Lepisosteus oculatus: one gene and its partners. The protein of the gene in region 4 binds, or shares a complex with, the protein of the main gene of each other region. Links are inferred from orthologs where the notes say so. Each region holds a gene or a part of one and is shown on either strand. Other genes may lie near its edges.

The links. The genes of interacting proteins can lie anywhere in the genome.
Region 1: tcte1 (region 4) and fbxl13 share a complex: the UniProt entries of both Homo sapiens proteins name them as parts of the nexin-dynein regulatory complex. The link is inferred for Lepisosteus oculatus from reciprocal best matches to the Homo sapiens genes DRC5 and FBXL13.
Region 2: tcte1 (region 4) and iqcd share a complex: the UniProt entries of both Homo sapiens proteins name them as parts of the nexin-dynein regulatory complex. The link is inferred for Lepisosteus oculatus from reciprocal best matches to the Homo sapiens genes DRC5 and DRC10.
Region 3: tcte1 (region 4) and iqcg share a complex: the UniProt entries of both Homo sapiens proteins name them as parts of the nexin-dynein regulatory complex. The link is inferred for Lepisosteus oculatus from reciprocal best matches to the Homo sapiens genes DRC5 and DRC9.

The regions. Positions count from the first base shown.
Region 1 is NC_090702.1:33,829,047-33,836,108, reverse strand, and holds the start of fbxl13 (F-box and leucine-rich repeat protein 13), read right to left. Parts: upstream 3,021-7,062; 5' UTR 2,953-3,020; coding exon 2,878-2,952; intron 1,981-2,877; coding exon 1,889-1,980; intron 1-1,888. Other genes in the region: armc10 (armadillo repeat-containing protein 10), read left to right, coding at 3,468-3,741, 5,175-5,320, 6,504-6,638, 7,035-7,062. UniProt on the Homo sapiens protein: Substrate-recognition component of the SCF (SKP1-CUL1-F-box protein)-type E3 ubiquitin ligase complex.
Region 2 is NC_090717.1:14,355,478-14,363,252, reverse strand, and holds the start of iqcd (dynein regulatory complex protein 10), read right to left. Parts: upstream 3,021-7,775; 5' UTR 2,629-3,020; intron 2,244-2,628; 5' UTR 2,171-2,243; coding exon 1,493-2,170; intron 1,039-1,492; coding exon 805-1,038; intron 294-804; coding exon 222-293; intron 1-221. Other genes in the region: tpcn1 (two pore channel protein 1), read left to right, coding at 3,990-4,098. UniProt on the Homo sapiens protein: Component of the nexin-dynein regulatory complex (N-DRC), a key regulator of ciliary/flagellar motility which maintains the alignment and integrity of the distal axoneme and regulates microtubule sliding in motile axonemes.
Region 3 is NC_090708.1:16,857,232-16,864,478, reverse strand, and holds the start of iqcg (dynein regulatory complex protein 9), read right to left. Parts: upstream 3,021-7,247; 5' UTR 2,993-3,020; coding exon of another isoform or gene 2,973-2,992; 5' UTR 2,913-2,972; intron 2,880-2,912; exon of another isoform or gene 2,487-2,879; intron 2,403-2,486; 5' UTR 2,395-2,402; coding exon 2,251-2,394; intron 1,522-2,250; coding exon 1,397-1,521; intron 675-1,396; coding exon 546-674; intron 433-545; coding exon 351-432; intron 160-350; coding exon 1-159. Other genes in the region: rpl35a (large ribosomal subunit protein eL33), read left to right, coding at 2,973-2,992, 3,302-3,411, 4,436-4,478, 5,416-5,568, 6,954-7,098. UniProt on the Homo sapiens protein: Component of the nexin-dynein regulatory complex (N-DRC), a key regulator of ciliary/flagellar motility which maintains the alignment and integrity of the distal axoneme and regulates microtubule sliding in motile axonemes.
Region 4 is NC_090697.1:43,242,666-43,249,781, reverse strand, and holds the start of tcte1 (dynein regulatory complex subunit 5), read right to left. Parts: upstream 3,001-7,116; 5' UTR 2,954-3,000; intron 1,967-2,953; 5' UTR 1,931-1,966; coding exon 1,726-1,930; intron 1-1,725. UniProt on the Homo sapiens protein: Component of the nexin-dynein regulatory complex (N-DRC) a key regulator of ciliary/flagellar motility which maintains the alignment and integrity of the distal axoneme and regulates microtubule sliding in motile axonemes.

The DNA.
Region 1 (7,062 bases), on a different chromosome or scaffold from region 4:
TGATGACGCATGCCCTGCCTGGAGAAACCCCTGGACAGAGTCATGTAAATGTTGCTGATGCAACACTATGCATCACAGATCATTTGATAACATAGGAAACAATGTGATGGTGGAAACTTACATGATGGAAAGTCTACAGTACGTAACACCCATTGTAGGCAGACATGTTTAAAACATCTTTTGATATAAAGTTATAAAGTTATAAAGTGATATAAAGTTTTTATAGTTTTGGCTTTTGAGTGATCAATGTTCATATTTTCACACTACAATTTTATTATCTGTAAGTTGATGCTGTGAATAGATTCTCTTTTAAAAAGAGCCTCATTTGACTATATGGGGGCTTTAATGAGGATGACTTTGCAGTCCAGAACACCTTTTTTATTATACATAAAAAAGAATATTACCAGATACTGTATATACTAGATCTGTATTTCAAGAAACCCCCGTTTGATGGTTTATATTGTCAAGAAATGCAAACAAATGCATACACCACTTTACTTATTACATGACATACTGTCACTATATTTGAATTAACCTGCCCTGGAGCCGGTTAAGAGTAGAGGATATGTTGCTATAGTTACTTAACCAGATACAATTCAGTCTTGTTTCATGAAACTAAAAATCCAGACTTTTGTTAAAAGGTTTACTAAATTCACCAAATTAAACCAAGTAATCTCACTTTGTGAAACAGTCCCCCACCACTGTAGAATGATCTTTCAGGGAGCAACTCAGTGTTTCATAGCAGTGTATGTCCTGTTCACAGTGGGAATTTATGTTACAGTCTTATATCAATAATGTGACCTGAGATGGAACCCATTAACAAAGATTAAACTTTAGAAATAAAAAAGGACTGACCACAGAACCCATTTTGAAGAGCCGGTTGATGAAAGCCAGCATGTTGAACAAGAGACCAAAAACAATATTTTATTTCCTGGGCACCTTTGACAGTGTAATTCAAATATTTTTGGGAGTCTTGCCAGTCCTAGAAGGTTCCACACAAAGACTAAATATAGACATCAGTATTTGTTATTTCAGAATACTACAGTCAATTTATTTCAAAATGCAGATTTAATTTATCTTACTGTAAATAAAGTTATTATATATTGTAAACCTGTCGCTGATGAAGCATACTCTCATGCCTCTAAAAGAGAACAGTACATGTGTTTGCTCCCTTTATAGACTGAGCAAAGCTATAAGGAATCTTTAGACACACAGCTGAAATATTATGCAACACTGCATTGTGGTGTATGGTAAAATTATACTGGGTATGGTGAATAGACTGCATGGCGAAATTATAACAGGGCCGGAGGAAAATCATCTCGTTTCTAACGTTCTTTCACTACGTGATATGTGTAAAGTGTTTATATGTCCTATAGGCTGTTTTACAATAATCTTAAGGGCACGTCTAACGCTACAGATGCTGCTTTAACAATTAAGGTGAGAACGGTGCCCTCTAGTGGAATTTCTATAACCTTCTTTATACGCAGTTTATCTTCTAATCTCAGGGATTGTTCAAATACAGCCATTGAGGATATTTTACCATCTCTACTCTTAAACACTTTATTTAACTAATTATTTGATGACATGGACACAGGTAAAACCTTTTTTGACCTTACCTATAGTTAATGGGATCAACAAAACTCTCAGAGCTTAATTAGACGTCAGTTGTGCGTTCTTTGGTTTAATCAAAACTCCCAAGAAATGTCCACTTGGAACTGGTATTGATCCCCGTCACAAACAGGCAGGGCTTTCACTGCGCATACATCGGCCTGATGGGGTAACGGCGCTCACATGTACAGTACAGTATGCCACTCTGTAAGGATTCTTCCAGATTTGTCCTAAACCATTCCATTGAATAAAATGTCCCATCTATTCCAAATTTACCTACCAGTTCCCATTTTCCTGAAACTCTTTGATTTTCTCTTCCAAGAACTGTAACGGGTTTGCAGGGCACACAACACATAACCCGGATAACAACGCCTGTCGATAAAAAATATATATATATATCACTTCCATTATCATGAAAATTTAGAGAAAACGCACCTTAGGACAAAGCAATACATAAACCTAATACAGGTTACAAATCAGAGTAGTGTTTCTACCCTTTTCGCTTGATTCACACCTAAAAATCGTCAAATATATATTCTATTCAATTCAGTTAACTTTTATATAGCGCCTTTCACAACAAGGTTTCCCCAAGGCGCTTAACAATGCAATATACAAATATAGAAAATATACAGTTTATCACGTTAAAATGGAAGCAATTCATCATGCCTGGTGAAATGTCATTACCGATTACATATATGCAATTGAATGCCACACCTTTCGTGTTTGCCAGACTACAGTACTTTGCAATTTTCCACGCCAGTATTTTATGTACTATGATAAAGCCAGAATAAGTGAAACCTGTGCAGTAAAGAGTGCCTGGTGTGTTCTCTGCCTTAGTGGAGATGTAACTGTCTATACATATTGACTTTATTCTTGGATACTCTCGGCAGTGGATCCTTGTTCGCACTTCACTGGTGTATTAATTAGATCAAGGGAACAGGAATTCCAGAAAAGTACTGGAGTAGGTAGATATATCCAATTGTTGCCATGAAGCTAGTAATAAGAAATTACAATTTTGTGATGCACACCAGATTAATTTAACTTTTTAAATACATTCTATATAATTATATATTAAACATGTTTAATGTATTATATTATACAAGTGTTGTCTCTCGAACGCTGAAAGCTTAATGATAAGTAAATTCCATTACGTTTTGCAAAGCTAAAGACCATGGAAGGTACCCCTTATGGATGTCAGTACAGCGTGTTATTCAGTAAAATAATTGTAATAAAAGTCTATACTGGAAAACACAGAAACGTCAACCCTACTTTATAGATCTCAGGAAGTGAGTGTTGCATGATGTATTTTCTCAAGACCGGATCTGCTTGTTGCAAATTATCCATTTCTCTCTTTCAAAACGTACGATACTACAAGTTTTTCGTATTTTCTAAACTCCCTCTTGAAAACTCAAGTCTGTTTACAGTCACTAAGTAACTAAATTGGCTCTGGCCACGCCGCTGGCCAAACGAAAATAATCCCCGTGTCTGGAACTCCTTGATGGGAGCCTTTAACACGCTGCTTATGAGCTTCAGTTAATGCACGTGGAATTACCATACAGTATATTGATACTCTTTCGTTTTAATTATTATATTTACGACATAGTCGATTACTAGGCTCTAAAAATACCAATTTGAATAATCCACTTCATACAGTATTTCAAGATGAACAATTCAGAATCCGAGAGATTCAGTTAGAAAAACCCCGTGAAAACGTTCGTTCACCCTTCTGTTTGATTAGAGTCATGTCGCAACTGAACTGTCAACATGCTGTTCGGAAATTGTTTGTTTTGCTGAAGCTTACCATATAAATAAGTATTTGATCAACTTTGTGCTCTTATGAGTCAGATCTCGAGTCCACGATGGCTGACGGTGCCAGTGTGGCTCCCAGCCCGTGTAAAATGAAGGTGTTGCTGGGGTTACTGGCCGGGGCTGGAGCCACTTACGGGATTTACAAACTAGTGACTGCAAGTAGGAATCGAGCTAATCAATCCCGAAATATCGATGTTGTAAATGAACATTGCTCAGGAAAAGATGAATCCACGAAAGCGGTTTTGCCTGGGAGTTTGCTGGAAAAAGTGTTCGAGTTTTCTTCGATTCGTGGGAGAGATGTTCGTACAGGCGATGGTTCATCGCGTAAGTCTGTCTCTTACTAAACAAGTCTACGTGCACCTGCTCTGTACTCTTTCGTGTCCTGTTGTTGTTATTTCCTCAAATGGATCACAAAGTAAAATAAACTCTCTGGCGCTAAAGATTGTTGCTGACACCATTTTACAGATGAAACAGGACAATTCTCTGGGCAGCTCACGTGGTTATGTGAATTATTGAATATATTACATACCGAAGTGTGAGCATGTTTATACTGGAACCGCACTGAAATAATGAATGTAGTATTACCGACTTAGTGGTACAGTCAGAGTGATTAATGCTGAGCTTGAAGTGATGCTCTCACATTGTGCAAAGTTCGTAGTGACATACGCTGAGCGGCCAGTTTATTAGGTACTGTACATATCCCTTCCCATGTACTTGAGGGCTTAATCAGAGACATCATCGTGCAGACGATGCTATTTAAAGCACGTAGTCAGGTACAGTATCTCCGGGTCGCGTGTGTGCGATTCAGAGGGAGAGTGGGCAAGACAAAAGACTTAAGTGACACTGAACACGGGAATTCAGTTTAATGTAATGCCTCCTAAGTCACTAGATTTCAGTCCAGTCAAGCACCTGTGGGATAATGGACAGAGTTATCCGAAGTAGAGATCCATCACCAGCTAATTTGCAGTTGCAACAACTATGTGACACATTTGGAGTCGACATGGGCCTGTATCCCTGTGCAGCACTTTTTGCACCTTGTTGAGTCCAAGCCCCAACAAGTCCGGGCAGTTTAAGGGGAGATGGAAGACCAACGTGCTATTGGGTAGATGTACCTAACAATGTGACCACACACTGTATGTGATTCTGAATCATGTGCAGTTTCTCAACAGTACAAAGATGCGGTTTAATATATAGAAAATGGAAAAACCAGAAAAACAAATAGCATAAGTGCACATGTTCAGAATTAAAACCTTCTGACCGGCTGTTTCTTTACTTAAACTACTTGTAGATACAATACAATAATGATAATACAAGTTTTTGGTAGTGTAGAAAGTGTAGTGTAAATGAGAAAGCTACATCAAGAGCAGATCATAAGGATGTCTGTCCTTAGTGGAAATCACAAAAATATTTTAAAAAAACAACCATATCCTCTCAAAAAAAAACAGATGTATTCTATTCACCTGTTAATTTTGAAGTTCCTTAAGCTCTTGTGTATAGCCAGTACTAGGTGCTGGATACTCCACACACTTTACTTTCTTTTGAATAAATGTGCATGAACAGACCACTGGATCTAAAATTAAATATTTGGACTTCTGACTCTTGATTACTGTAAAGTTTGTAAAGGATGAAACTCCAGTGCGGTGATGGTCTTTTTATCCTCCCTGGCATTAATAGAGGTATTTAGATCTGCCAAATATTTCCCAAGAATTTAAAGCGCATTTCTAACTTGCTGTTTTACCTGTGCTTTTAATTTGCAGGTGAAATACTCTCAAAAACTCCTGGAAAGCTGGACCCACAGCATCTAGAGATGCTTCTTTCCCTGCTGCAGAGTAATCCTGACACATCTGAAAGAATGCAAATACTTGTCACTCTGGGCAACAGTGCAGCCTTCTCTGTGAACCAGGTACCACACGTAAATTAATTCAGGCTATAGGCCTCCGGAATACTGAGTGATTCCTGAGGCCAGAGGATCAGGGATCATTTGTATTTTATGCTCAAGGGCATCTTACAATTAACTCACTATAAAGGCAGATAATTTCCATAGCCCAGCAACACTGGGTCACTGGGTCTGCTTATCCTGGTTTCCATGGTGTTAAGTGGACAAGAGAGCATGTGACTCTCCTGGACAGGTCACCAGTCCATTACAGGGATTCCCGCCCCACAGTACTGGTCCCCATTCATACAGCTGGGAGAACTGAAGCAACTGGGATAAAGTGCTTCCCTTAAGGTACAACACCAGCATCTGCAGTAGGGACACAATCCACCTGTTAAGAGCCCAGAGACTTATCCACCCAAGACACTAAATTGCTAAACACTATAGCTGCTTAATAACACATACCTGTAGATTATATATTTAATCACAAACTTACAATATATTGTCAGAAATATAGTGCCTGCAGGAAAGGTAAACTGCTGGTACTTAGCAGTGTGGTAATTACAATGCAGCTCCAGAAGGAGAAGTCTTTTAACGTCACAAAACAGCACAATACAAATAAGTGCATATCGTATACAGAGCAGATCTGGGCTGTCCAGTCTAGATCCTGCTGGACCTTTGTGTTTGCAGGTTTACATTCCAGCTCGGCTCTTATTGAGCTGAACCAGCTGGTTGCTGACCTAACTGGACAACTTTCACAGCTTCTCACCTTTCGGGTGCCGCTGCTTTGAAGAGACCTAGGAAACCTGCAGACACACCCACCCTCCGGGACCAGGAATAGACACCTCTCGGGTAGATAGTGTGTGGTTTAAAAAAAGCACAGCAGTGGAATAAATAAGGGAGTTGAATATCGCAAGTGCAAAACATTGAGTGTCTTCCAGGTCCAATGAATGTCTGGTTTCATGCTCATGCTGAACTCTTTCTCCTAGTCTTAATCCACAAGGAAGAAGGCAGACGATTTCACAGGGAACATTCTTCAGCAATCAGCACTACCAAGAGTTTTTTTAAGGAAAAATGTTGCGGTTTCATGTATTCAGAGGAGAATCTTTGTTCTCGTTCATCTTATATACAGTAATGGTTGTCAGAAGTGCTTTTGTGGTGAAGTAGTCATCCTGGAGAATGGATAAAGATTGTATGTTTTTTCCGACTGCAGGACTTTATTCGTGAAACGGGCGGCCTTAAAATCATAGGAAACCTCTTGTCAGATCCTGTGTTTGGCATCCGAGTCCAGGCCTTAAATGCTCTGAACAACTTGAGCATGAATGCCAAAAACCAGGAACAACTGAAGGTACGTCTACTATGATTCACAAAGCTGCCGCTGCTCAGGGAGTCTAATCTAGTCTGAGCGCCTCACTATTCCATCTTTCAGCTTTTCTGTCTTTTCTTTATAAAGATTTTATTTCATTATCATTATTATTTTATTTCTGAAGTCTTATTGATGCTGTAAGTCATAGTGGATAAATTAATGATAGTCATCTATTTCATAGAGCTTAAATGAAATCTTTCAATGATCAAGTATTAGAAAATTCTAATACACTGCTACAGAAGTGCTTGAACCTTTGTAATTTCACCTGATTTCATGTTTATACAAGCTGTGCATTAGATATGAATGGGTTGTATTGTCTATCGCTTTTTGTCTTAATGTATATTCTACCTGACAGTTACATTTGGATTTTCCCTATAGGAATATATTCCAAAGGTACTGGAAATGA
Region 2 (7,775 bases), on a different chromosome or scaffold from region 4:
CGACCTGTCCCATGACAGAAAGCCAGCCTTATTCTAGAATAATTCACCCTTGTTCGGAAGGCTGCTGTGTGGCTCGGGGCTGGGAGTTTGTGTGAGATATTTGTGTGAGTGACTGAATTCTAATTCAGATATATTTTCTATTCTATTGATATCTGGGAATGAGCAGTTCTCGCCATAATCATGTGCATGACTATGGATGAAGGGAAAAAACTTTTCTCTACCTGCTTTTCACCCATGTCCACATCATATTTCTGGATCCAGTTCTCAATCTCTGTCTCCACTTTGTACTTCCTCTGTAGAGAAGCAGGTTATACTTGAGAAAATGAAATAGTTGCAGGGCACCAGTTTCTAAAACTTTACATCATAGAACTATTTTTTCTGAAAATGCAACATTCACTGTTTAGCATTATGGCCACCACTACAGACCCTCCATCTGAGGAAAGAATAACATTTGCTCATATACAACCATAATGGTATTGTGATTAAAAGGACATCTGTTTCAAGAGGAAACCTATGCAAACATGAAGAGAGCACACAGGCAGACAGCACAGCCGGGCCAGGATTGAACCCAGGGCTCCTTCGCTGCTACTGCACCACCGTGTTGCTCTCAAAAGATCTTCCAAGCCTCAAAAAATCTCTACTTGGCAAACATTCTAAGCAGAAATAACAAAATAACTAAATATACTGACTGAAATCTGGCATGAAATGAAGCCGCAGGCAATTGAGATTATTTTTGTATTAGTACTGTAATTCGGTTCAAACTGGAGGATGGGCTCAGGTCCCTGGAACTGAAAAGAAACGCACCTTCCTCAGCGCCAGCTCGCTCTCGCGGTTCTCGGCTATCAGGCCGCAGAGCCGCCCGCGCAGCTGCCCCATCTCCTGCTGCATGCGCCCGCAGCGGCTCTCCGAGGCCTTGTGGTCGGACTGCGTCTGCTTGTCCGCTTCCTGCCGGGTTCGCTTCAGGAAGTCCTCCGAGATCTTCTCCATCTGGTGGAGGGAGCCCTTCAGCTTGCGGATGACCTCATTCTTCTTGGAAATCTAAGCAAGGAGACAGGGTGGCTGGTGTCGCGACTGGAAACGTTCTCTGGGGAAATCTTCACAGCACCATAACAAACACAGCACAGAATTTCCACACCACACTGACCACAGGAAACTGAAAATACCAGCCCTTCCAGGCTTGGGTTGGCGGTATGAATAAAGTATCAATAAAGTATCTATCTATCTATGAACACTTATGCACACTGAGTGTCTGGACAGAACACTGTATATATGAACATATGTACAATATATGTGTGCAGGCTAGATACAGAGGCTGCCATCACGGCACATCATTTCTGTCTTTCCAACTCCATGGGAGTTAACACCGCCATGAGGAACACTTTGGACTTGAAATAAGTCAATGCAGCCCTGCATTCTGGTTATGCTCTTAAAAGGACGTAGGGACAGCACCTGGACTGTCAATCTCCTAACGCATAACGGGCCCCTTGCCTACCTCAGCATCCCTGTCCCGGGCGGCCGCAGCCACCTCCCTCTCAAGGGTGGAGATGAGCCCCACGTTGTTCTGGTGCCGGAGAGACACCTCCTGGATGTACCGGCTCCTCTCTCGCTCCTCCGCGGGGCCGGTCAGGAGCTTCTCAAAGAGCAGGCTGCGCAGCTCCGTCAGCCCCCATGCCAAACCCCACGCCAGTCCCGGAGCCCCCCCGCCCGCGCCCGCCTGCCCTCTCAGATTGTGGGTGGCACTGGGGTGTGCCCGCAGGTGCCTCAGGACGCTGCGGAGGGAGCTGCGGAGAGCCTGCTCCAGGCCCGGGAGCCGGGGGTCTTCGTTCTCGCCCCCCAGCCCCTGACGCTGGCTCCTCTCCCGCAGGGCGGCCAGCATCTGCCCCAGCCGCTCGTGCTCCCGCAGGGCCCCCGCGAGTTCGGCCCCCAGCCCCACCGACAGCCGCTCCAGGCCGGACAGGACCGTGGGCAGCAGGGCCACCAGCTCCACCTTCGCGATGCACTCGTCCAGAACGCCCGCGACCCGCTGCGTCTCCAGGGAGCTCAGCTTCTTGCGGGCCGGGTCCAGGATCTTGAGAGACTCCCTGGCGCCGCTCGCGCGGGGCTGAGGGCTGGGACTGGCGGCCTGTCGGCAGCCACCCCCCACCGGCAGCACAGCCACTTCCATGGCCATGAGCCGTCGGTCTCCAGGCTCCTCTGCTCCTCAGCAGACACCGCTCAGCTACAGCACAAGGTCCTGGGGTCACCTGGAGACAGAACGACACGTGAAGGAATCAGGAGGAGCAGTTTTTCTTCACGTTTTTCTTCCTGAGAACTTCCTGAGAACTTAACTGAAAGTTATTTACAGTTCAGCAGAGAAAACGTGTTTAGGAGATTACATGATTTTTAATAATATTACACTGACGCCTCTAATTAACTTTGCAGTTTTACTGTTAATAGCTAAATACACAATCAACACAATGAACTGTAATATATTATTTTCCTTTTTTAGACCATGAAGTTTTATTTTAAAAAGTCCAGTGCAACATAGAATACAGCTACGAATAACGGACCAAACACATAACACAAACACATGTTTCTTAATAAATGTATGCATAATTAAAAAATAGACTGGTGCTATATCTCACCTACCTCAATGGGAACTTGTTTCTGCTTGCAGTTTATCTGCGTTGCTAGGAAACCGCAATGCAGGCGGCGCTTTGACAGCCAATCAGCGCTTGAACTGCAGCATCGTGACCGGAAGCAATCCCTGTACGTTATTGGGAATGTAGTTTGAATGGTTTTAGTTTCTCACGGCCTTTCCAAAAAAAACATTGACCCTAGTGTTAAAGCGCAGTTTTTATATACATTTCTAACTGCTTTATAATGAATTATACCAGACGACGTTGCTTCGGCATTTAAACTTTAGACGCAAGCTATGCTTAATGCATGTGACTTCCAGAACGGCTTAACTGAGAGCTAAAGACCTTATTTTCTTATACGCGACGTAAAGACAATTGTAAAAAAAACGAGTCAGAGATGTGCGCGTCACGTGCCATTTTCTCATCCCCACGTACGAGTCGAGGCGCTTCTGATTGACAGGTTGGTTCTCCACTCACAGGGCAGAACCGGACTCAGAGAACAGACACCAGCCAATAGCATCGCAGCAGAGGCGGGCCTGTGCGCTGGTTGTCTTCAGGCTCTTTAATGCTGTGCAGGGTCTGGTTACAAAATGTAACAAGAATGTTTTTGCGCGATGTTTTTTAAAGGATTGGTATGTTTTTTTGGTTCCGCGAAGGTTACCTAAAAGCCTGCTTTTATTTTTTTCCGTTTTGGAAGATATGCACGTTGGGGTTAGTGGAAGCTAGCTTAACTCAAAACATGACAGCTCTTCACTAGTTCAGAATAAATCGTCGTGTTGTTATTATCAACAACAGACAGAAGTTGAGACCGTTTTTCTCTCTGATATCTTAACTCAAGAAATTAAACCTAAAGAAGCTGTCGGAGGAGCTCTGTTTAGCGCTATAACGTCACAAAATCGGATAGTTTTGTTACTGAATTTTTATCTGAATCATGTTAAGTCGTTTAAATGCATGTACACGTTAGAAACATTGATGACTCCGATGGTCGGTACATGAAATACAATCTGGACTAGATTTCTTTTAGTAAAAAGAGATTTATAGCGCTTGAAATACGATCCGATATTTGCTTTTATTTTAGTGTCCTGTAGCGGCGTTGGCACAATAAAACGCACTGGGTTTTTAAAACTAAACCTGTCAACAAACTGAAGCTAGACTCTTCAGTCTCTTCAGTTTGGTGGATGTAGCAGGTGAACTGCTGGCTCTTGGTTTTGCGTTGCAGTTTACCACTCCGAGACGATTGGCATTGATTATGCAAAAGGAGCTGGAGAAGTTTTGGATAAGCCAAACGAGAAACCCACTTGGTAGGGTGGCTTGATTGTGGGACAGACAGCGAGCGAGGGTCGCCCTGCCCCGGACAGGCCTTTTCGGAGGATGGCCAGCAACGCAGATGACGACGTACCGCTCATCCTGACCTGGGACGAAGCCAACTGCGGACTGCTGGGCGGCGAGGAGCCAGACAACGCGGAGGTGACGAGCGAAAGTAAGTTTTGCTTCCCTCCTGTTGGGTGAGTGATGGTGCTCTTGGACCGAGTCCCGGTGTGGAAATTTCGTGTTCACCGTTCAATTTGCAAAGACAGGACCTAGCACGAAATGATAGTGCACGCCCAGAGCTAAAGGTCTGTTGTGTCCCATAGCTGCCTGTCGTGTTTCACTTAAAACGGATTATAATTGAATTCGTTTCACAGTCTACACCCACTGTAACGAGGTACATTCTGTCCATCATTAAAGGGTGGGTTTGGAAGATTTCAAGGCCTTCACATAATGGCTTTCCCCCCGAGCTTTGTCATAAAGTGATCTTTGTACCCATTGGTCTTTTTAATGCTTTAACTTTTATTCCTCTCTTTGCTTTAAGTCCTTAATCAAATGCTTTTAAAACTTCCAATTTAATCTCTCACTATATACCGCTTTCTAATGCCCGTCCCTGAGGAGTTCTGAAAGCTTTTTACAAATTCTGACACTAAAGCAACACAAGTTTCATTGATAGAACGGTGAAGCTTTGGGTCCTCTAAGAGCGATTTATACTTCACAGCAGTTTACAGCCTTTAGATGTTAAAACAGTGCGTTTCGCTGTGCTTTAGCGTTGAAACGGATTTGTTGGCACCTTGCAGGGATGCCCAGATGCGAGTCTGGGGCTGATGACCTTTTTATAATTGGATTGTGTCTGTTCTCTAATATTCCTAAATTTGTTGTATCTCAACTGATGAAGGCATCAGGAGCTGTGCCAATGGGACAAGTTCTAGGCTCTTATGTCACCATTTCATTTTCTACATGGAAATAAAGGAATTGAGAAAGAAAACAAGGCTTTTTCATACCAAGTATCTGTGTCTCATCTAAATGAGTTAAAACAACTTAGTGACCAGTAACTGCGCCTCTTGTTCATGATGCTGATTTGGATGTAATTTGGGAGATATTTCCGAAGATCTGGAATGTGATACAGTGCATGTAAGAAGTTCTGCTTCCACCAAGATGCACTCCTCCTGGGACTGGTCACAAACCCTGTATCCATAGCAAGCAGTTCATTGAAACAGAGGCCTAAACACTACCCACACACAAGGAAAAGATGAAGCCAAACCTTGTTTTAATTTCCAGCAAATGCAACTGAAACTGGTTGTGAAAAGAAATCTTGAGCCAATGCAGATGTTTAAGGATGTGGTTTCTAGTCCATTACTAGTGGAGGAACTTGATGAATTAGAGATCGGATGAGGTCTTGAAATTGAAATCCTCAGCAGATGACCATGCAAGGAATCGCAGCAGCAGCAAAAACATCCAGTGAGAATTTGGTGAAATGCAACATGTTTTTTTGCATGTGTTTGCAAATGGCTGTGTGCTTCAGTTGACCATTGGGTGGGTGGAGCGCGGTGCTGTTGCAACACCCAAGGTTTAGGAAGAGGAAGAGGTTTAAAGCGAGGCGTGATTAGCGACCACAGACGTCTCGCATTCCAGCAGCACAGGAGTGGAGGATGTCCTGGGCAGATCGTCAGGATGTCTGCTTGGCTCTTGTGTGGCAGTTTGGAAAAGCCAAAAAGCAGCGCGAACCCCTAGACTGCTCCACAGAGGGCGCCAGAGCTATAGCTAGCAAGCCAGCTGCTGTCTGTGCTAATCACGCATCTGGAGAGACTCTAGACCTCCATCATCTGCATAGCAGGATACAACCCAGGAAGAATGACTTTGTTTTTTTTTTAATTGTGTTTACTGTTTAACCTCTTTCAGGAGAGAGAAAGGAAAAGCACAGAATCTACCAGGCACAATTCAGAGTATTTCACTAGAATGGGTTACACTTGGATTAAAGCACAGAAGCATTTTCGACTAGCACAACATGTTTGTAGAAAATATATGCAGAATAAGTCTCCTATTCAAAAATCTCATTTCATGTTTAACCAGTGGTGAAATTGGTCAACAGTGTCGGCTGTATTTGGCTGTATAAACATTTTAATTGACATTTAAAAGCAGAACAGATGGATCTGCCCCAAGATGTGAAAGATGCTTAAGCTGGATGTCTTCATCCACGCTTTTTGTGCAAGACTCACAGGTGTCCCGCTTGCTGCTTGACGTTGGTCAGTGTCATGCGCCAGATAGTGTTTTTCACGCTGATTCACCCTAGAATGCTAATGGAACATTGTCACTGCAGATGAAGGCTAACAAAAGCCATTTGTCTACAAAAGAGAAGTCACTGCTAATCTAGCCACCAGTCAGTGTGCTAATTTACAGAAGAATATTTTACTTGCAGCTCATTAAAAAGTCAAGGTGTTCTAGGAAAAGGTGTGGTTAAGAAAAGTGGGTTATTTTTGGGATGTACTTCTAAATCACTGTGTGTTACCCTGAGCAAATCACTAAACCATCTTCAGCTTTATGCTTTGCAATGTTCTTACTGACTTTGCTGCAGCTGTTGTTCTTGCAACTTTTGGCATCTGCTACAGTAAAGTCACTTTGGACAGAAGTGGTTCCCGAGTGACTGAAGCGTCCATGAACTTCAGCTGCATTAGTAAACTTTCAGATTATAGTCCCCCCACGGCCTTCCACTGGAGTCACGATCCTGGCACAGAAAAATGGTATTAGTTCACTTGTGCTGTTTTTTAAATGGACAAATGTGATCACTTTTTGTAGTTTGGACAATATTTATGATGTGTATATTTATTTTATAAGGATGCATATTGACGTGGACAGGATTTCACCCTCGAACAGGGTGACATCATGTGCCCAATGTGGCTCTGGTTTCTTGTAAAGTGGGATACACAGAGCAACACACTGCCACGTTCAAGTGAGCTCAGATACACAGAGCTACACACTGCCACGTTCAAGTGAGCTCAGATACACAGAGCTACACACTGCCACGTTCAAGTGAGCTCAGATACACAGAGCTACACACTGCCACGTTCAAGTGAGCTCAGATACACAGAGCTACACACTGCCACGTTCAAGTGAGCTCAGATACACAGAGCTACACACTGCCACGTTCAAGTGAGCTCAGATACACAGAGCTACACACTGCCACGTTCAAGTGAGCTCAGATACACAGAGCTACACACTGCCACGTTCAAGTGAGCTCAGATACACAGAGCTACACACTGCCACGTTCAAGTGAGCTCAGATACACAGAGCTACACACTGCCACGTTCAAGTGAGCTCAGATACACAGAGCTACACACTGCCACGTTCAAGTGAGCTCAGATACACAGAGCTACACACTGCCACGTTCAAGTGAGCTCAGATACACAGAGCAACACACTGCCACGTTCAAGTGAGCTCAGATACACAGAGCTACACACTGCCACGTTCAAGTGAGCTCAGATACACAGAGCTACACACTGCCACGTTCAAGTGAGCTCAGATACACAGAGCTACACACTGCCATGTTCAAGTGAGCTCAGATACACAGAGCTACACACTGCCACGTTCAAGTGAGCTCAGATACACAGAGCTACACACTGCCACGTTCAAGTGAGCTCAGATACACAGAGCTACACACTGCCACGTTCAAGTGAGCTCACCATTCACCAGACTGTCCTTTGCTTTGCTGTGTTCATCTCAGTAATTTGGATTGTTGATGTGCAGTCTAAAACATATCCAGTCAAAGAGCATTTTAGTGTGCTCAGTGTGTGTGTCATCTTCTGATTCTGCTCTGGGGTGAGACTCGTACTTCCATCCACTCCTTAACCG
Region 3 (7,247 bases), on a different chromosome or scaffold from region 4:
GATCTGCTCCTGCAGTTGCTGCTCAGCGTGTCCATTGAGCTTCTGGCCCTGGTACACCTGCAGCTCCGCGCTGCTCTTCACATACTTCCCCTCCAGCCCAGTTTTGGCCTTCATCTCCTGCAGCTGGTCCTTCATGTGGGCGATCATCTCCTCCCGCTTCTGGGGGTGAGGGGTGAGGAGAGAGAGACATGTCAGACACAGAGCAGATAAGTTATAAAGCATAGCTATTACTGTATGTAATGATGGCATGCCCATGTTATTACACTATAATATGGTACATCCTTGCAAGGGCATGTTTGAGTTATTATACTGCAATAGTGTGTGTCACTCATTGGAATGTGTTTTTATACCTGCAGCTCAAGCTCTTTCTCTTTGCGGATATCCAAAAGCTGTCTCTGCAGAGCTCTGGTTCTGCGTCTCCCCTCCTCTTCCCTGCCAAAAAGCGCATGCAGACACGCCCACACAAAGTCATTGCCAATGTCCGATGTCCACTTTGCCTGGTACTGAGACCAAAACTTTCTGAAGACTAGAACTGAGAGGCTGACCTGACTATGATGTCGTGGAGGTGTGCCTTCCTCTCTTTTTCCGCTTGGACAGCCAAAAGCAAGCTCTGGAATGTGCCCTTTTCCTGCAGCTCAGCCAGGACGTCGGAGATCACCTGTGCTGCAAACTGCCTGAGACAGGAACAGAAAGACAGAGAGAGGAGAAAGAGGGACACAGAGCAAAAGGCAGAGAGAGGAGTGAGATGGAGAAGGACAGACAATTAGAGTAAGGAAAGAAAAGGGAAAGAGAAGCAAAGAGATTTGATTGTCCAATGTTTAAATTTAACTTTAATTTCATCTCACAGGTGGTTTAATTGTAAAAACACCATTCTGAATCATAGATTAAGTCGTGTATCCAATACAATTCGGGCTAGGATCATGATCTTCTTCGATGCCTGGATTCCCAGCATGCTAGATGCCAGTAGCATTCGGTGGTTTGAGCTGGCCGAGCAGGAGACCCTACAGCACCATCAATGAGAGTCATAATGTTCGTTCAATCAGTGCCAATGCTCCTGTAAGGCACTAGAGAGCTTGCAAACAGCACATCTAGATGGGATAGAGAGCATATCAAATGGTGTGTGCCACATTGATCAACAACTGTCAGTAACAGATTGGGAAGGGTCAAAAATAAATTGCCATTTCAACATTGTATCATATGTATTTTTTATTTGTATCTTTCAGACTTTTGACCTATAGGAATGCTCCACAGAGGAGTAGGTCAGTGGACTTAGGTTATATGCAATTCCGTAACGCATGCAAGATTTTTGCAGAGCTAGAGAGCCAGAAATTGAGAGGAAGTAGAGAGATAGTAAGACAGCAGGAGAGAGAGAGAGCCCATTCACTGCAAAACTGACCTGTCTCTTTGCACCTTGACCAGGTGCTCGGGGGTCAGGGGGTTGTGCTCAAGCATGCGGCTCAGCTCCACCTGGGTCCTCTGCAGCGCCCCCGTGACCTGTGCCAGCTTTGCCCTCTCCTGCAACTGCAATTACATCATCTCCGTGAAATACATCTCTGCCCCTGCTGCTGCAACACCTGCCCAAAGTGAGCAGACACAATCCGATAGACAAACACACTGAGACACCTAGACACAAAGACACTTGAACACACACACATAATCTGACAGATTAAACCATGAAAAGACGGGTCTCACTCTGGTCTGTAGACAATGTAGCATCCACTTCCTCCTCCTCCATCATTTCAACCCATGATTCCCTCTGTCCCACACACCTCTTGACCTGCACCTCCTGTCCTCAACCCTGGCTGCCCTCCAAATTCAGATAGATCTAAATATGTCTATATTGAAAATGACTGATTCTCAACTTTTATTCAAAAACTGAACTTTCAGTTTGCATAAAGGGGCATAAAACACTCCTAAACCCTTCACGTCCACTGCAAAATTCAACAAGGCCTTTTAAAATCTTCCCCTCTGGGGATTTCCTGAATAAAATATAATTGTATTTATTTAGCTATGGCTGGTATAAGTATAAACTAGAATTTAGAATAGCATGTCTTCTTCGCCACAGACGTGAACAACATACAGCTAGAGAGAGAAACTGAGACACCTGACCCAGCATAATCTGAGAGACTCACACAACGGACAGTGTTACGGGTTCTGAGACATATATTAGTACACGAAGACAACATGTCAGAAAGGAAAACACATCGAGAGACACATTGACAGACATGACACATTGAGACAGATACAAACTTGTGGGTGAGAGAGTACCGAGTCAGCGTCAGGCCGCCCCTCGTACGTGGCAGGCATGATGTGACCCAGCACGGCCAGTTGATCTGCGCCGTCTTCTAGAACCGTGCACAGCCGGATTTGCTCCACATACGACTGGAGAGACATCGTGTGCACTGCAAATGCAAATGAGAACTTAGTACAAATGATCTGTGTGCAGATTGTACAATTATGCAGGTTGCTTCAATAATGTCACTTACGCAGATACTGTAAACTCAGATTGAATGATATTGTACGTTAATACTGTATAGTCGGTGTGACTGACAAAGTCAATATCAATGTAACTGACAGTACAGTTTGTCTCAGGGCGTCCCTTCTAAAGCCCACTCGGCACTAAAAACCGGAATCTAATCAAAGTTTTAATATTAACAGTGTGCACGCTGGAAAGGTCAGTAAGCATTGCAGGTCCAATAGATACTTCCCATTCCCCATTAGCGACTTCAAATAGTCTTTTAACACTTTCAAATAGGTTACCAATTTCTACCAATCTCAAAATCAAAATTCTGCTGCAAGAAAAATGAAATGAATCGATCCAATATGTTAAAATAGATGTCTGTAACTGCTGATCAATAACTTTCCTAAAACTTCAAAGACAAAATAATAATACTGTCGCAAAGATTAACCACCGTTTCAGTCAGGTTACTTTTCCAACTCGTGAAAATTGCTCGATGTTGACACCGATCACCATGGCAACCGCACAACCGTGGTGAGCAAGCTTAACAGTTGCATGTACTTTTTTTTGTTCATGTTAAATTAGTAAATACAATATATATATTGAAGTATATACTTGAAGCTTAATGTTTAGTTTATTTTAGTGGACAAGAAACTTTATTTAGTTTCTGAGGAACAAATGCAAGTAAGCGAAGTAAAAAGGCTAGTCTATAAAATTGCCTGTTACAACAAATTGTAAACGCAAAGCGAATGATTAGTTTTGGACATATGGAACTTAAATATTTTCTGAGATTTTTTAAAACTAAAAAATGTTTTTAAGAAACTAGTGTACTTCTTTTAAAAGCACATTTCTAGTCAGGCGCTGTTTCAGTCACGACTCGTGCGACGATGGTGTTGATTTCCCAGCATGCCCTAAGGACCCCCCTTTTTCCTCCATCTTGGATATCAGTACAGGTGAGAGAGATAAACAGCGTTTAGAATCAACCGGTTTTTAAATAGTTTTTAAAAGTATAGTAACTATAATATTACTTATCTTAAACAGCCGTGAGTCTTATACGGCTTGTTTTACCAGTGCTGTAGCCTTTGAGCTGAAGATGGCCGAGATACTCAGTGGATTTAGCTTGGAATCCCTCGGGTGAAATGTAAAATGCCCCGGCTTCGCAGGAGCTGAGCCTCGGCCGTTCAAACTCAATTTTATTCATTAGATTCCCATTTAAAAATACAAGAATGTCTCCGAGCCCTGTAACTGTCAAAACCCTGGTGTGATTTTTAAAATTGGAAACCATTTATCTTTCTTATAAAATGATGGTTTTATTCATTTCTGCCTTACTGACTGAAGTTTTGCTGTATGGTCAGTGAGTGTTAATGGTGGGAGCTATTATGCAGTGTGTAGTCATATACACGGTGTTTGTACCCCGAAATCATATACGTCCCCGGTTGCTGCCGTTTTGGGTGTATGTATGAATTCTCGTTTCTCGACTGCCGAGTCCGACACCTTATTTGCTTCCGATTGTGTCTAACCGGAACTGTGGCGGTCAGGCCCTTTTAATGTAATATCGTGGCTGAACTTGTTGCAGTTTTTCCCAGCAGTTACATGTCCCTCACAGCTCAGATAGGTAGAATCGTGAAAGTGCACAGTGTTGCCCGGACCATGAACCTTCAGCAATAGTGTCTTTTAAAATGAATTACATGTGTTTCGTGTAGATAGTAGTTCCTCGTGCAAATGTGTACGTGTTCAAAGAAAACGGATGTCCTTTGCTATTTCCCACAGGAGCTGTCACTATTGATACAGTGTGCGTTACCGTGATGTAGAGCTAAAATCCTCAGCCGTGGTCCATCTCTCTTAGCTGGGTTGTGTTGTTTTTTTCCCCCAAAGTAACTTTCGTACCTAGAAGTGGTCATCTGTGTATAGCTCCTTGTGTTTTAGACTAACATGATTTTATTGTGTGCTGATTATGTGCTCCCTGTCCATCTCCAGGCTTGGCTGTGACTGAATACTCAAGCTTCACAATGCCAGGAAGGTGAGTCCTTTGTTTCTCACTAATCAGGTATTCTTGGAGCTGCCTTTGTATTGGTGAGCATTGCTGAATAATAAATTTTAAAAATCGACCTTCCTGCAGTGGGAGTGTAACAGGAACAGAATCTGTTCTTTTTGGAAGCAGAAGGGTTTGTGTTTGATCGGTACTGTGCTGTGGCAAACTGGTGGGTTATCTCTGGTTTAAACTAACACTTCTCCAATGTGCTTTATTCCACAGGATATACCCTTTAAAACAGCAGGCTATTTTACACACAAGCAGAGCTCAGTTCTGAATTGAGTGATTGCCTGTATTACCCGGTGTGATGCATTTCAGTGATTTTTAACTTCCATATGCTCTTCTCACTTCTCCACCTGATCTACAGTGAGGTGGGGTTGCAGAAAGTTGCAGCTGTCTCTCAGTTGATGGATGAAATAGATCCCCTGCTATATGCAAATTAGGATGAAAAGTGCAGTACAGATTCAAGTATTTGAAGAAAGTAGATGTGAAGTTTAATATCCAAGTGGGAGCCTTTGGCTGCTAATTACTCCTTCGGTAAGTGATTCTGGTGTCCCGAGCTTGGCCACTGCAATGCAGTGCAGTGATTTCAGGTTCAGTCTTCAGTTCCTAGATTGCTTATCCTTCAGCAGTGCTGTGCGATAAGCATCGCTTTCCCACTTGTATAGGAGCCTTCAGTTAAAAACCTGACATGGATCAGAGTGCTGTCTTTTTTACATGCAGTCAGTAATGATCTCTGCCAGTTGGCTCTTCACTTAAGATACCTAGTTTGTATCAAAACCGTGATCCTATCTAATAAAATTACAAACATTTGCAGTGTCTGCAAGGGGCAATGAAGAGTGTGGATCGTGCTGCAGGGTGGACAGTCTCTTGTTGGGGCTGTGATTGTCTTCTGACAAGGGCTCTTGGTCTCTTTCCCCCCCAGACTGTGGTGCAAGGCGATCTTCACAGGGTACAAGCGAGGCCTCCGGAACCAGCGCGAGCACACGGCGCTGCTGAAGATCGAGGGTGTGTACACGCGCGAGGAGACCGAGTTCTACCTGGGCAAGCGCTGCGCCTACGTCTACAAGGCCAAGAAGTGAGTCCAATGCTGCCGGCGCACCAGTGTTAAACTGGGTGTGCCTGTGAAGGTTCTTCTTGGTATGCCACTTAAGTGTTGCAGAGAGAAGCTGACAAGTTCTCTTAAGCCGGTTCCCCAACCTGGGTCCACATTTACTAGTGGGTAGTGGGAAGTCCTCATGTGTGTATATATGTTGTATATAGAAGACCTCGCCCAGCTGCTTTAGTGCTCTATCTCATTTTCTTTAAGCAGGCAGATTTCCAGTTTCAGTTATTGAATCCAGTTAGTGGACGGTAAGGTTTAGGGATTTGGTAACAGGAAACGTGCTTCTTTGTTTAGAGATCTGTTCTGAAAAACCGAGCACATTTATGGTGCTGCTGTGCTGTATAGTTTTATGGCATTGTCCATATTTGTTCTTTTGCTGCTGGACTTGAAGTGGATGTGCTGCCAAGTTCTGCTGGCCCTCTAAGTGCAGCAGCAAACACAGATTTTGTGTCTGGTGTCTGTTTCAGGAGGATTGAGCTGGCATGGTTCAAACAAGGCACAGCTGGAACAGTGTTAAGATTTTTTTTTTATCTGTATGATGTGTTTAATAATTGGAGAAGGTTAAACTTATTTACACATGTGGCACACTGCTAGCAGCTCGGTAATACACATCTGCATGTAGAACTGTCTTGTCTCTGTACCTGCAGGCACTTCATCATTTCGCCTGCCACTTGTTATTCCAAAAAACGTATTAAATATTAAAAGAATAGGTGTTCTTGACATATAAGGGATGTATAATTATGCACTTAACATTTAATGAGGTACTTACCATTGTTTCATAGACAGGGCCAATACTAAATTTTTCATTGAATGTGTTTGTGTGTCAGGGCAGTTTCCCTTGCAAACTGCGTTTTTCCTCTTGTGCTTAAAATATGGTTCTTGTTCTTGTTTATAGCCCTGTGTCATACAGAATTGTGATGTTTTGAATATGACTGTATTACAGGCAGCACTGAAGGAAGAGCAGCTTTCAAATAAAGAATAAAATCATTTCTGTCAAAGGCCGTTAGTTAGGGGATGTGTGGCCGCATTTAGTGGTGGGTTGGCTTTTGTTCCCTTATCAGATTATCCTTTGCTTAGAAACAGATGCCATTTTTATCAAGATTGACATTAGCCTTCTTGCTGTCCCTCACAGCTCTTCTCTCTTTCCTGTCTCTGTCTTCAGATCCCATCATACACCCTCCGTCGCTCATTCAAATTAAAGAGTTGCTGTTTATTTAGTTTTGTGTTTGCGGGGGTCACGTTTGCTCGATTATGTCTGTGCTCGTTTTCATTCCGTGTTAGAAGATATCTGCAGTTTTGGAGCTGCCTGAATAATTGCTGTTTGACTGAGGCCTCTCTCGCTCTCCCTCTGTCTCAAGGAACACAGTGACTCCTGGCGGCAAGCCCAGCAAGACGCGCGTGATCTGGGGCAAGGTGATGCGCGCTCACGGGAACAGCGGCATGATCCGCGCCAAGTTCAGCAGCAACCTGCCCGCCAAGGCCATTGGGCACAGGATCAGAGTGGTGAGTGTCCAGCCTTTGCTCTGCTCTTCCTCGCGTCTGTCTCTCGCCTCTTCATCATTACTACCACTGGGTGAGCTACTGGAGGGAGGGTGAACGACACCCTCTTCATCCCTCCTTCCAAAGCTGTGGTCACTTATAAACTGGTCAGC
Region 4 (7,116 bases):
AGCATTGAATACATTCATACATTGATAGTAATTAAAAAATAAAATTCAGATATTTCTTATACTAATAGTTATTAATTCTATATATTGTTTAATTAATTACAAACAGTAATGAAATACAAAGTTCCATCCTTAAACAAATACCATCCATTAATACAGATTTATTTTAAAGAGATAAAGAAAGGGCAGATCTCTGGAATGTCTGAGGTATTTGCCTATAGACCAATATGTTAAATTCTGAAAAAATATACTCTGTTTAATGTAATATGTTGTTTTATTTCCTTAATATTCAATTTAATGTGTTTTGTGTGATTTAAGAGTTGATTTTTTGCAGCTGGGAAGGTAACGATGTAGTCATAGTATTGCTTCACAGTACTTTAAAGGAAATATACATAATAGAAACTACTCCTTCAAATAAATAACAAGTGTCCATGAGAGAATGGAGGTAATTTGTATCCCCACAGTGTCAGTGTTGGATCAAGAGCACTACAGGGTTTTCATACTGGAACTTAATAAATTTTAGTATTCCTAACACGCACTGTGTCTTGTATTTAAAATGTCTTTTCTGTGGTTAATCAGACAGTTTCATCACTGACTTTCATTAAGCCTCACTCAAGAGCATGCTTCAGAGCAGAACAGACTTTACACTTAATCTTGATTGAAGAAATGGCGTCAAGTTCTAACTGAAATGAAATTACTTTGGGGCTCACCAGTTCAATATTATGTGTCATGAATTGTGACATACAGAAACCTGCTAAAAGGTCTTATGAAATGGTATGATTCACTGGGGGCACAAACACATCATGATCTTCATTCTCAATGTATATTTTATCATGTTAAATCATGCAGAAAAAAGATGTACGAAATTTTATTTTGGTGTTCAAAACTAAAAGTGAATGGTTTCTGACATATTTAAAAACTCATTACTGCCACACCTATACATTTTGGTAGTAATTGATCATTAAAGGTTTTTGAGAGCTTTAACATTTTACAACTGGTTAAATTTAGATTAAGTGCTTCTATTTTTTTCTTTCTGTTTTAGTCATACAATCTATAAAAGCAATGACATGTAATTTGAATTTATCCTTCTCAATTAGGGAGTAAAATGAGAATCAGACCAGAAGTCATCTGGGGAATACAAGATTTGTTTAGAAAACAGGAGTAAAGCTAGTCAGGACTTTATCATACTGTAGCTCTAGAATACAATGTGCCCCGAAGACTCCACATTCTAACACGTCTTTGCACTTTGATTTTGCTGTTAACAAACAAGTGGTTAACACATGTGTTAACACATGTAAAGCATGCATTTAAAATCTAAAGGAACAAGTAATAGGTTTATTCCATGCTGAGAAAAAGAAGAAAGAAAACACAACATTTCGGCCGTGGAGCCTTCTTCAGGTGTCCAAGCCTTCTTCCACATGGAATAAACCTATTACTTGTTCCTTTGCAGCCTACGCATGCTGACGCAGCTACTCACCTGAACTACTTCAAAATCTAAAACCTTTTTCCTTTTTCCATCCTTTTTCTTTGGATTTCCAGTCTCTAAATATATTCTTAAAAAACTGTTTCTGAAGTCTGAATATTGCCATTGTTTAATAAGACTTTAAAAAACCTGATATGTTAATTCCAGAAGGCTCTTGGCTTCACATGCTTTCACTTGAAAGCCACACTCACATACATGCTCTACAATATCATCATAAAAATGTGATAAAGGCAAAAAGAACCTACTATGGAAGTTTTTAACGATATGTTGTAGGCACAGGTTTTTAAGAAGGGGAACTACAGCTAGAGACCATTCTGGGTCCTCCGCAATGATCCTTCTCATTTTCCGTGGGTCAGCAACAGGATTGAGTTTGGCCACTGGCGGATAAATGCGTGGCTTTGTGCCAGGACTGGCTGCTGCCTTGCTTTGGATGTCCATGATATCCGGCATCTTCCTGTATGCCCTAGATGTTTACAATCCTGTCTTCTGAAAAGAAAGAGGAGACAAACGAAAGCGATACACTCATTTTTCCATAATACCATCTCTGCATCAAAACTCCAAACAGCATAAAAACAACTCTTTACAGGCTTACTGGCTAAAAGCTAAGTAAAGTACCAAGAACATTTTTCTAAGTAAATCCTGAAGGATCCTAACTGATCAATTCCACTATACTGTTTGATTGATTTTAAGCATAAATCAAATCCCTGTAGGAAAAGGACAGCCTCATGTTAATTGCAAACCTGCGTTAATTACGTTTTCACTCTCCATTTGAAATATCTATGAGGATCAACACAGTTTATGCCCTTCAAGACAATAGTGTTGTTTATGTTGTTAAAAGCTCCCTTCAGCTGCCATCTTCAAAAGATGAAAACAGCAGGCTGAATTAACAATGGAGTAGAATGGCAGACCAGCAAGTTGAGTTGATGATGACACAGTTGAATCTTATTGATCACCTAAACAAACAGTCTTGAGTAGTCAAAAAGGCAACATTCTGTCCCATCTTTAAGTGGTGTTTTTATTCTGTTTTTTATTGACTGCATTAGAAACAATTATATGTCAGACTAATAATCCAAAATCCAAATCCACTATAGATAAACACCTTAAATTATACATTATAAGAACACTGGGGCAAAACTATTCCTCCATGCCTTTATCCTATTTCTCCATAACTTTCAGCAATTCTACATTATTATTGTTATTTTTGTATTTTCCCAGTGACCCTCAGGAAGAGCACAAAACTTAGCACACTATAGTGTCTAAAACACAGCCCCTTAACATTGTGTCTATAATATAATTCGATGGTGTCGGTTTACACGAGATGAAATGTCTCCTAAGTATGTAAATATGACATTTTACAATGGAAAAAACATATTGCAAAAACATGTTTGCAATACCCATAACACAAATAAGAAGGAAACTTGTTCTATGCACCCTGACACAAATTACATTATTTAGATATCCCTCCAAACATACCTTACTGGTACTTCTTCTGTCTTGTTTATTTACTGTATCCATGGTAACGCTTGACCCTTGGTAACCCGGAACCAGTTAGTGATTGGCTACAACACCGACGCACTGTCATACAAACCGAAAGTTGTGGTTTCTAACCTTTAGTTCAGCCTGCTCCCATTATTAAAAAAAAATTGAAGTAGGGTAGTTATCACATAACTATAGAATGAAATACATATTATTTTAAATTATAATTTAGTTAGACATGTTTACATTATCCAGTTTATTTTTACTGTCAAGTAAGAATACATGAAAATGTAATACTTTATATATTTATGAACTTGAAAGATATGTTAATTGTGCTAACATGCCTGTGCTTCATTTTTTAGATTTGCCTTCTGAAAGCTGGCTTGTCTCGAACCCTCAGAGCGTGTACCACTGTAACATCGTTTAGTGCACTCTAATAAAATCATAATACAACTGAAATGTTTTAAAATGGTTTATGATATATAAAGTGTAGTGTTTTGAAGTAAAAAAAAATATTAAAATGTGACATACTGCATTCACATCGACATAGCGTTTAAACGGTTACTAATAACTTTACTACGCATATATAAAGTAGTAGAAATAAATTACATAAAAAACTAAATATATTTATAAATATATTTATTTAGCTAAATATCCTAAAGTCAGATTATTTCACATTCTAAAAAGTTTTTGTTTTGTTGTAGCATTACTTTTTGCTTTACAAATGCAAATTTATGGTCCAACAACACAAAGATTTCATAACTTTTTTAATGATCATAAAAACAATAAAATGCATAATACTTTTAAAATATTTCATTAAACCCATGGCCAAAGAGAAACTAGAAATAAGCTTTGATCAAATTCTACATTCTATTTTCCGTAGGTTATTTCCACAACGGCTCATTAGTGGCCAGAGATAAAGCTTTTTTCCGCGACATTAAACAACCAGGAAAGACTTCCTCGCCTTCTGGAGGGGAACGCCAGTCCCCTGCAGAGCAATGGAAGTTTCCATTCGCACAGCTGGAAAGACTGGAGCAAACGGGGTAACGCACAAGCTCAAGGTACAGCACCAATGTTTATCGCAGGAACATTTCCACTAGGCAACCCTTATATACAGTACATATACAGTATTATTATTTAATTTACTCAAATAAAGAAATAAACTGCAACATCGTTTAGTGCTCTCTGATAAAATCATAATATAATTGAAATGTTTTAGAATGGTGTATGATATTTACATAGTGTTTTAAAGTAAAAAAAAATCAAAATGTAAAAATGTGACAGTTTAATTATTTTAGACTTGTGCTTGGTAGGTGGGAAAGATTAATACATTTTTTTTATGACATGTCTATGCATACAATAATGTTTTCTGTTTTCAAAAGGTGACCATAATGCTGTAATGTACTTTACTGAAAAGTGCTTCATGGGTTTTTAAAACGTTGTGCAATGCAGTGCTTCCACTTCACAGCTCCAGAGATTTTCAGACATGTTTTTTGTATTTTAGTTAAGGGGAAAAACAAGATTATAAATAGAAAAGAGAATTTGGGGGGAATAATCATAACAAGGAAATTGGAAAACAATTAACAGGAAAGATACCACCTTAAAAGAATAGATTTTTTTTAGATCTTTGAATATGTAGACATAAGTACTACATGACAGCTGTCTGTATATTTTTAGACACATTTATTAACTTCATCATTAAATTGTAGCATTTACTGACAAACATTTAGTTGTTATTAAGTAAACAGTTTCAGTAATGTTTTACAGACTAATCTACATTGATCCCTTGTTCAGCATTGTGCACAATTTCCATGGCAGATCATACGGTCTGTTAAGACAGTCACCCCTGGGTAACACGTAATGACTTGTGCCTCCTGTTCCTTAAGTAAGGCAGGGATTAATTAACAATGTCAGACTCCTGACTCCAAGCTGTGTGTGGAGGTTCAATTCTACTGCGTGCTGAAGAAAGTTTTATTTAATTTCTAGAACTAGAAGTGCTGGGTATTGAAATGTATCTTCATTTAATTGATTTTTAATGATTAATATATGATCTTGTCTTTGTACAGCACTTTGGACATTTCTGTCAGCAGAGAATTATTTCATATTTATAATTTTTTTCAGCGCTCTCTCCTTTATTTGTCTTCACACTCACAGGGAAGAGAGCAGCTGTCTATTCTATGTGCTGAGAATGCTTGACAGTGTCTTGGAGACATCTGACTCCTCAGCTCCAGACAGACATAGACTGAACACTGGTCTCTGAGCTGTACATTGTTCTGCACTGCAGGGGAAGGGATGTTCACAGAATCAACAAATAACATGACATAATCACAAATTCACACTTGTCTGTCTTTTGAGTTAACTTAATAAACTGTAATACTTTTGCTATAAGTTATTTTAATTGATATTTGTACTATAGCAAACACGGTATAGTACTGAAAGATCGATTTATCAGCGATGAGTGGCTTACGAGGTTTAATTGAAATGGAAAAATGTCTTTCATTTCTACATCTCTTACGTTTTTTATTTTCTGTGCGAATGTTAATTTATGATGCAGATCTTGTTTCTCCTCAAAGTTGAGACAGGAGTGAAATTGAATTGAGGGGTTTTGGTACACAATTAGGTTGTTTTTGTTTTTTAAAATCCAAATGAAAAGACAACTTTGTTTCTCAATCACAATTTTTCAATAACAAAGATGAGGAGATCTTAGATATATGAAGCCAACCAAGGGGAAATGTATGACGCCACAGTGTGAAATTGGAAGAAACTCTAATGTACAGTGGTGGCAGGCATCTCATCTTTTATTCCACCACTACTGAAGTATACACCAGAACATAAAAAAGTTAACCAGCTTGGAACACCACTCCGTCTCATAGACTTAAGGATCCAGCTTCTTTCTCCAAATCTTTTTTTTTCCACAAATGCACATATGAGATTTGATTCTCCTGAAGATCATACAACATTATCTTCCTGATAACTAGAACGTGATAAAACTGCACCGTCTACTGATAGCTATGCATGCCCACACTGCTAAATTTGGGTCTTGTGACAGGTGGTTGAGCTGCTGGCTGGTCGATTAAGTAAGTATTCCTGCAGTGAGACTCCTCATTTGCTTTGTTGCTGGCTAGGAGCACAGAGAATTTCATCCCACCGCGGCAGGAAACATACTGATTCCAAAATCACCCTCCCTCTGGTTGCCAGGGTAAAGTGTTAGACAGCACACAAAGGTGGATGGTATAACTCTCCCCAAGGGACACTGACGAATGGAAACAATGGCTCAACTCCATTTTCTCAAGTCATCGTGATTCTCAGATCCTTATTTCAGGTCTCTGTCTATTTGCCCACACCATAAAATAGTTGTATGTTTTAAAGTTATTGTGTTAAACAGGAAATAATTGACTGATATGAACGTACAGTGCCTTGCAAAGGTTTGAACAGTTTGAGCATTTAGGTTTTGATTAAAAACAGCCGTCCATCTTCTAACCACATCATCCAATTCAGGGTTGTAGGGGAGCCAAGGGCACAAGGCACGGTACACCCTTCACAGGATTCCAGTCCAGGACAGGCCCACGCACAGTCTGAGACACAGACTCACACTAGGGCCAGTTGTTTTACAGAGGCCAATTAAACTACCAGTATGCCTTTGAGCTGTGGGAGAAAACTGGAGCACACTAAAGAAGCACAGGGAGAGCATGCAGACTCCTTTCTTATAGCACCCCAGGTCCAGAATTGAACCCAGCCAGCGCTGCGAGGCAACAATGCTACCCAGTGCGCCACCAGTTTCAGTTGAAAAATGTGTTTTTGTCACAGGGCCCATGCACTGACCAGTTACAGAAGTGATTTCAACCCCCTCTGAAAGCTAAGTGTATAACTCTTTCTGTTTTTTGAGGAATAATCTGCTGTCTAGGGAGTGGCGCTGTACGTTTTCAGCTCCCATGAATGACGGGATTGAATCTCAGAAGGATCAGGGAGCCCTGTAAGCATTGCATATTCACCATTTGTAATTAACAAAATGGGACATCACTGGAAGAAAGTGAATATTTTTGCAAGGCTCTGTATTTTTTTATAGAAAAAGCACATCATAGTAAAACAGAGGCCATTAAAGAGCAAATCATTTTGTCATAAGTAAGGGGTGTGTATGTTTCACATATTATTAGAATAGT